Linked DNA regions of Caenorhabditis elegans. The protein of the gene in region 2 interacts with the protein of the main gene of each other region in a pairwise test. Each region holds a gene or a part of one and is shown on either strand. Other genes may lie near its edges.

The links.
Region 1: the proteins of lfi-1 (region 2) and C05C10.5 interact in a two-hybrid assay, tested with the Caenorhabditis elegans proteins (one large-scale study listed by BioGRID).

Annotation. Positions count from the first base shown.
Region 1 is NC_003280.10:9,937,184-9,940,945, reverse strand, and holds C05C10.5 (uncharacterized protein), read right to left. Parts: upstream 1,907-3,762; 5' UTR 1,720-1,906; coding exon 1,678-1,719; coding exon of another isoform or gene 1,674-1,677; intron 1,633-1,673; coding exon 1,529-1,632; intron 1,481-1,528; coding exon 1,139-1,480; intron 1,083-1,138; coding exon 932-1,082; 3' UTR 514-931; downstream 1-513. Other genes in the region: ufd-3 (Ubiquitin fusion degradation protein 3 homolog), read right to left, coding at 1-95, 141-185; C05C10.7 (uncharacterized protein), read left to right, coding at 2,011-2,060, 2,111-2,344, 2,399-2,491, 2,536-2,803.
Region 2 is NC_003284.9:4,979,325-4,984,239, forward strand, and holds the start of lfi-1 (Rootletin-like coiled-coil domain-containing protein), read left to right. Parts: upstream 1-1,915; 5' UTR 1,916-2,171; intron 2,172-4,238; 5' UTR 4,239-4,259; coding exon 4,260-4,572; intron 4,573-4,740; exon of another isoform or gene 4,741-4,742; coding exon 4,743-4,881; intron 4,882-4,915. Other genes in the region: ZC8.6 (Phosphatidylinositol 4-kinase type 2), read right to left, coding at 67-270.

The sequences.
Region 1 (3,762 bases), on a different chromosome or scaffold from region 2:
CCACCCGATATCAAGCATCCGCCTTGAGTAACTGCCAAAGCCTTTGTGTCGGATTTGTGGGCTTCAATAACATGGGAAATTGTGTACTGTGGCATCTGCAAAATAAATTCCACTTCAATTCGGCAAATTCTAAAACTCACACTTTCCGTTTCCATTGGCACGTCACCGAGACCGTCATCTGCCATTATCTGAAGAATAGCTTTTAATTAAAGTTAATCAACAAAAAAATATAACGAAATTGAGAAAAATCCGAAAAAGTTTTGATGACAAACTGCAAACGATGCTCCGAACTAACGCCACATGGAAGAGGATTTCTACGACCCCGCAGTAGGCAAATTTGCGGGAATTCAAAATTTAACACTGATAGGATGCAATTTTTTGGAGAAGGGCATTCAGATTCGCTTAAATAAATATTTGAAGTTTCACAGAACATCAAGACTTTGCAAAGAGTGTTAAAAATTCAATAATTAAAAATAAATAATACTTTTATCGGCAAACTTTTTTTAATTTAGTAGGTTTTTTGAGAGCGAAATTTACATCGCACTAGATAGTCTCGAAACAGGAGTGATACCTTTTTAATTCTTCAAAAAAAAAACAAGAAAGGAACCGAGTTTGATAGACAATTGATTTATTTTTGTCCTACGCAAGTATAAATGGGGAAACGGTGTTGGTTCATTATAAAACAACATAAAAACGCTAAAACAGCGATACCAATAGACTACAAACATTAAACGAAAGTTATTATTGCACACAACTAATCAATGAGTGGGGTGGATTCAAGAAGATTGATTATATTAAGGAATTATAGGTATATCACAATTATGACTCATGGCAACAATAAGGTTTAGTAAATTTTTTAAAGATAAAAATGCGATCTCAACTGGAAAAATGTGGATAAAACGTTGAGGGGCAGCAATTTCAGTCCTGGGAATCATGTAGACAGATTGCCGACCTGTCTGAAGATTGATTTACCGCTATCCGGAAGTCGTCCCATTCGCTGCAGAATGATGTACTCGTCGGCTGCTGGAAGTGTATCCTCCGTTGGCATTTCGTCGAATGGCCCAAGATACCGGGTTTGCGATCTGAAAATTTTAATATTTAAATTGAGCCTAAAAACAGCTAGAAAATCCAAACTCACTTGGCAAAGAACTCTCCAGGTGTCAGAAGACCACGGAAGAAGCGATTGAAGTCCTTTGGAATCGCACGAACTCCTGGCAATTGTGTCGGGGAGAGTGCTCGACGACGTGGCTGCCCATTGTCGATATTTCCTGCACGCATATTCTCTTGATTTATGCGATTTGCAGCGTCTTGTGCTGGTCTTCTGGCGTCATTGGCGTTCAATTGCCGCAATGGACGCCGCTCTGGAAGTCGAATCGGAGCCACACGGTTGACACGTGGCGGCGGTGTCCGTCTGATCGCTCTTCTGACGTCTGGTGATGGTTCACGTGGTGGCGGGCTTTGCGATCTTCTGCGGTCAAGCCTGAATAATCTTATTATAGAAACAATTATATAACATTTTGGGACAAACAATTCTCTCCATCCCTTTTCGCTGAGCTCCGAGGCTCTGGTCCATCCACTGGGGAAGATTTGGAATGGATCTGCAGGCGGGGGACACAGAATATCAGCTTCTACCTGAAAATATAAATATTGTAAACGAATTTTAATTCAAGAACTCACAGCACGCAACTGGTCCCAGCGATTTCCATGAAAATGCTCCATAATTAGTGTGTGAAATAGGTGAGAGGGAGAAAAAATGGGTCTGTGGAATGAATGACAAGCGAAAATTTAAATGAAAAAATCAGAATTTTCCCGCGCATAATTTTAATTTTCGACTGATACACTTTCATCGGTAAAATAGAGGCAGATCAATAAAATAAGTAGGTCGAAAATAATTGTTTTTGTTTTTTTTTAAACGCGCGCGCACAAATAGTTCAAACACGATGACGCAAAAATACACAGTTTCGCAGTTTTTTTAAATTTCTTTTGTTTTACAACACTCTTTTCTGAAAAATGTCAGATTTTGACGATTCTGATTCAGAATTTCAAGGATTTGAGCTAAGGTTTGTTTTATTTTAATAACTAATAATAATTCTAATATTAACTTTTACAGATCACCTCAGATCCATGTAAAAGAATTCTTGATAGTCGAAGAAGAAACTCCAAAAATCATCAAAAAGGAAGAGGTTCCAAGGAAGTTCGAATCCGAGTTTGTTGGCTCATTTCTGGGAGAAAGTCCAGTTGTACTTTCAAAAGAAACAGCGTTTGGAGAAGCTGGAGAGTCGGAAGTTCTGGATTGGGATGCCAGTACAGTTTTCAACAGCCTAGCTTGCCCTGAAAACAACCTGTGCGTTTTTTAAAAGTATACATTTTATAAAGAATTAAATTTGCCTTTTTCCAGAGAAAAGTCAGTATGCGTCATTCGTCTCCACGACGTCCTCACAAAATCCGAAATGGGAGTACACAAAATGAAGCGACAACTTATTCATTGCGGGTCGGTCTTGGAAATCAAACTTTTCATCAATTGTCAATTTTAAGACAGCTCCTTGATGAATATTCTCCTCAACAACGTCGTGATTTGGGCTTTGATGATTCTCAAAATGTGAAGAATCTTCTTCAAATGATCCGAGCGTTCCGGTCAACTGTTAAAATCATGCTGATCGACGTGGAGGATCTTCAGGACCAGATTACACAAGAAGCGCAAGATGAGACCCCAATTATATCCAAATTTTCGAAACTTTTATACGTTTCCGGTGCATTAGCCGTCATTCCTATTTGTTGGTTTATGTACCGCAGATTTTGTTAAGTTATCTTTTAAATCTTGAATAAAAATTTAAAAAAAACATATGTTTTATTAAAATTGCTCTTATTCGTAACTATGTACGGATTTATATATATTTTTTTAATTGTACAATTCGCTAAAATGACAGTAAACTACATTTGAAAATTTTATTTAAAAAGAAGCTAACGTCAGTAGCACACTTGTGTCCTGGCCACCTGTCTCTGTTGCCCTCCCATCCTTATCACAGATCACACTTCAAACATCAAACTTCTCAAGGCAGAACTCCTCCCAAATATCACCCGAATTTTTCTTCTCAAAACTTTTCGCCAGTCTCACAACCACGTGTTTCCCAGACCTTCAGTTAACTTCACTTCTCATTTTCCCTGATTTTCTGTCTGCGTCTCTATAAAAAGTAGACAAAAAATGCGAAAAAGAAACGTTTTTGTGTACTCAAGTTGTGACACACTCGCTCAGACTATTGGCTACTGATGGTTTTTAGTTTTTTTTTTGCTTTAGACAATTCTACCTCTAAAAATTAAGATTTTATAACAGTTTTCTAAATTTTTATTAGTTCAGTGAATTTATCATGATTTTTCTAGAGCCCCATCGGAATTAACATTGAAAATTTTACCCAGACGCGTTATTTTTGCAACTTTTGTACTAAAAATACAGAACCCGGTCTCGACACTGCAAAGTTTGTTAATTGAAAAAATATGTGTACCTTTAAAGAGTACTGTAGTTTTAAAATTTCGTTGCAGCAAAATTTTTATATTTTTTCTCGCATTAAACTTTAACTGTTTTTATTGTTTTGTTTTAGTTTTCTTGATAATATTTTGAAATACTTGAGATAATTGAAAAACTGTGAAAAAATCTATGAAAATCATACAGAAACGATAGTTTGAAATTACCGTACATTTTAAAAGCGCACTCCTCTTCGCGTTATTACGGGAACAATAAATCATGAGAATGCGTACTTGGTACCG
Region 2 (4,915 bases):
TATGGTTTTCATATTACACAAGTTGTTCGCTTTTTCTTTCTACAATTCCAACAAAAAATTGCTCACCTTTTCCGGTAGTCCAATTCGATGAAATCGTCTTCCAATATTTGGATATCTTGATTGAATTCTCTCCTTCGTCCGTGCTTTCGCCCGGTCAATACGGTCATAGTAGAAAGTTGGAGCCGCCAGTTCAACCACCCCGGTTGGTGGTACGATTCCCAGCTTGAGCTTCTCATCCACAAGTGAAGCTCCAACTTCTGACAGGTATCCCTGCAAAAAGTAATCAGTTAGTCTTGGCTATCAAATTGTAAACATTTATGTATATCATGCATTCTATATGCTTCGGGATTTGTATGTACTTGACACCCCTCTTCCAAGTCCGCCTGTATAACCATATAACCAGCCAAATCGACACATCTACGGCAGGAAAATGGACGACGACTACACATAATTATTTCAGTAGTACGCTAAGCACTCATGCGCCAACACTACCAACAACCTAGGCCCTCCAACAACAGCAGCGCATCATCGAGTTGAATATTATTTCATCGTCCTTCTTTCCCCCGCGATGTGTTGTTCTTTCAAAGTCCATTGACCCGAAAAACCGGTAACGGCAACATACATACACATACACTTATGCCAAAGGGAATCATTACACTTCGCAAATCATTCAGTTTGTAATCCAAGAAGATCTGCGGATTTTTCGTTGTTTTGAGTAATACGTTTGAGTCATTTTCACATCAGAATGGGATAAATGTGCATCGTTACAAAATTCTTGCCACATTTTCTTCGTCGCAATTTTTGCTCTTCGACCGACTTAATTTCTAATTCGCATTCTTTGACAACCTTATTTTCGTCTCCCTTATGTGCACGTTTTCAACAACATTTTGCTCTACTAGAGAGCCTTTTTTCCCTTCATCGACACCAATTTCAATTGGCTGCCATTTCGAGAGCAGAGAAAAGTCATTGACTATGTTGTTTTCTGAGAATCGAAAATGAGTGTCGTGAAAAAATACGATGAGTGGCGGCGGTCAGCGCGGCGCAAAGGAAACCGGCGGCTCACAATTGCTTCGGACCAAGAGAGTAGCAATTATAGGAGTGAGCGAAACATTGGCAACACTGAGCGAGAGAGCAATTCTATTAAAGTCAATGGGCGAATCGGGGTGCGAACCAGCAGCACCTTTCCTAGAATAGCAACCAGAGCCAGTATTCTCTCGTCTCCTTCAATTCTTTTAGGTTTGTTCGATTTGAAAAATGCCACGAAAAATTGTTTGTTTTTGAAGACCAGATGTAATTTGGGATAAACTTTTTGTCTTAAAGGTGGATTGGCTTCAGTGGTTTAAAGCTGCTCATGTGGTGCCAAAATGCCAAAATATCATTGTAAAATAACAACATATTTCTTCTAATTTTCTACTCTAATTGGACTTTAATTATTTGTGTTTAAACATTCTAGCATACCGTAGAAACTGATTTTTTATTCAATTTGGAACTTTGCCTAAAACGTTGAAAAGGTGTTTTATTATGATATCTGATTTGTTTGAATGATTATAAAAAATTTAGATAAAATCCCCACTGACGCTATTCCACCTTTGAGGTCCTTTCAGTTGCAGTCTTCCCGTTTTTTCCAACTTTTGAAAACAATTTCCAAAACGGGCATAAAACCCCTGCAACGCCAAATCCCCGGGAAAATCTTGACAATGGTCGTTTTTTGGTGCGTGTATGTGGTCCGTGTCACTTTTTTGGACATGATGCCAGCCGGGCAAAGGACGACATGCCCATCAAACTTTCAAGCCAGTTGTCCTCCTTTTTTAGTGTGTGTCGGCTATCCTTTTTTGCAATTCTCGCCACACACACACACACACACACACCATCCAACAACAACTCTTTGAACCAAAGCAACAAACATTCTCTCCAGAAATCAATAGTGACAGGGTGCACATACACGCGCCAACCGGCGAACTCCTTTTTTGTCTTCTGGTCGCGCAAGCTTGACAAAGACATAGAATCAGCAGCGGCGGAACAACGAAAAAAGACACGTGAACGATTGAAGCAGACGAGAAGAGAAGAAGAAGAACGGCATCTGTTTAACGAGGGTAGAAACTTTCTCTTCATTGTGCTCGCAGCTCAGCCAATCACCTGCCCTTTCTATTCTTTTCTAAAACACAAATCCGGTAAGGTTTTCCTAAAATTGATTCATGGTCCCCCCAATGAATTGACATATGCATATATATCATCCAGCTTGGCAGCAGCTTATTTTCCTAACGTGAAGGTCGGCACATTTTCTCTCCCTCTTTCATTTTCTCGTTCAACGCTAGAAATAAATCGAAAGAGAATTTGAGTTCCATGTTTTAGGCGACATTCGGTCCCCTGTGAGTAGGAAAAAACATAATATGTGTTGTTTCGGCAATTTTCTTGTTCAAATGTTAGTGGGTGGAGAAGTAGATAAGGGTATTTCCATCACCTTATCAACAAAAAGCTTGTTGCGGAATCAAAGGGGGTTAAAATAACAGTTCGCCTTACTATCGCGATGTTTTTTGTTTCGAAATTCAAAAAGTGTGAAGTGAGTGTAGAGGATTATGTGTGAGACCGTCTTTCAAAACTAATGTTGTTTCCTCAAAATTTATACTTTTTTAGGGAATTAAATCTAGGAAAAAGTATACGATGTTCGTATAAGTACTCAGTCAAGCTCTACTTCCAAACAACTTCCCACTACTCATCCACCATTCTTACGCAACTTTTCAAAAAGATAGCAGCCATCATTAGGCAGTTTCCCAGAATTGAAGTGAGAAAGAGAGAGAGAGAGAGAGAGAGAGAGAGAGAGAGAGAGAGAGAGAGAGAGAGAGAGCACGGCTCAACCGCGGTCTTGTCCTTGCTGGAGCACAACGATCGGCCAACGTCGTCTTCTTCCCCTCTTCCGTATTTCGTTCTGGTCGTTTGTTGTTGTCGACAACAACACAGAGAGGGCGCCCTCCCAGATCGATGGCTCAAGCCACCAGAGTACGCGCGCCCCACTCCAAAGAAGGCGTGGCCCGTGGCGATGGGCAATGTTGATGTCGTCGTCGTCGTGCTCCACTCGCTCTTCTCCATCTCTCTGGCTCACACTCTGTTTACTTGTTTACCTCTTGCCTAGAAAGGGGAATGAAAAAAAAAGAGCAGGCCATCCGCGCGAGCCCGCTCAGCAAAAAAGTCGCAATTGTCCACCCTTCCTTCTCTTTTTTTTCCTCTTCGAAATCGGTGGAAAACTCCAAGGAAGCTCTTGTTTAAGTCATATTTACTATACTTGGTAAATAGGAAATGCAATAGTCACTAGTCACTGGAGCAATAAAATAATGTGTGCTCAATATTTTTCGAAAAACAAAAACAATTGAAGAATTTGTGTTCTCGATTGTTTTCGACACTGCCTTTTCCTCTACTAAAAATTCCTAGTAGCTAAATTTTCAACTTCAAAATTCACATGACTAGTGTACATACCTTTACTCTATTGGACTCTTCCCCCGGTTGCTATGCGACAAATAACGATTCCAGCTTACCCGCGCGCCCTCTCTCTCTCCTGCTCAATCTTCCCGCCTCATTTTTATATGTACATGTATATATTTGTCAAAAATTGGATGGGAGGGGGGGCGAACAAATGAAACATGCAAACAAAATACGTGTTTACAAGACCTCCGACCTACCGAATGCTCACACTCTTCACGACTTTCTTTTTTGAAATTCGATCTACTCAAAACATCCAGAGCGCGCATCTTTTCTCGCTTTCTAGCTCTCTCTGGCAACATGCCCTCCTCGTACACTAAGTCAAAGAAGATTTGAGATTAACTGAGATTAACTATTTCTTCAATATTTCTCCTATAATTGTGAATTTGTAAGTTCCAGTTACAAAAAATAACAAAAAATTTCAACTTCAAGTTCACTTGCGATTTCAATTTCAACATAAGTTTACCGCATTTTTTCAACATAAGTTTACCGCAGTTTTCTAAACAATCTTTTCAAGGTTTTTCGGGGCATAAGAAAAGAGCGTCGCCTTTTCTTTTTTCCATCCACCACATACTTCAATGAGGTGGAATGAAAACAGACTAGTTTCACTCTCTATTCCAACTGTTGCCATCTTCCTCGAAAAATAGAGAAAAGACGACCTCCGCGTAAACAATTTCCAAAACCTCAAGCAAGCTGCCAAGCTGCGTATTCCGGCGTCCTTATTTCGCTTTCCCCCTCAACATTGGCGGAGATAACTATTGCAGCATGCTGATGTGCTCCATTGGATGTTCTTCAGCTGTGGCGTGAATAGCAGCTCCCCAGGTCGTCAACTAGTTGTGAGCGAGTCGGTTTCGGAAGATAATCTACACAACCCATCATCACACGCGCTCCGAACCCTATCCCCGGTTTCACCACCGACAGCTAATTCTAGTAGTTCAACTAGCAGATCTTGCTCACCAGTTGTTCGTGCAGAAACTATCGTTGCTGGCAAGTGGACGCATATATCTGGAAAAGTTTCTGTTAGGCCATTGACGCCTTCTGAAACCGAATCGGTTCTTGACCGTCAACGTCAGAAAAATCGTCGATCTTCTAGAAAAGGTTTATGTGTGCTCTTGATATGTTTTCTTTATGTTTGACTGTTGCAATTTTGAGAATGCACCCGACTTGTAGATAGTTTGAGAAAAATTCAATTTTTTTTAAAATTTGAACCCTTTTTGCTCACTTTCAGTAGTTAGAAGTCTTGATTCATCTTTCTATTCCTTTTATAGACAAGCTCAAAATGTCGACTCACGACGATACTCGAAGCTCTGGTGGAGGAGACGGAACAATTCATATTCCGTCGGCAGATGCCAAGGAGCCAACTCCGGAGAGCCCAGGCTCTCGTTCCAACTACGGAGAATTCTACTGGTATGTATAAATTTATCAACTTTGCCGATGCATG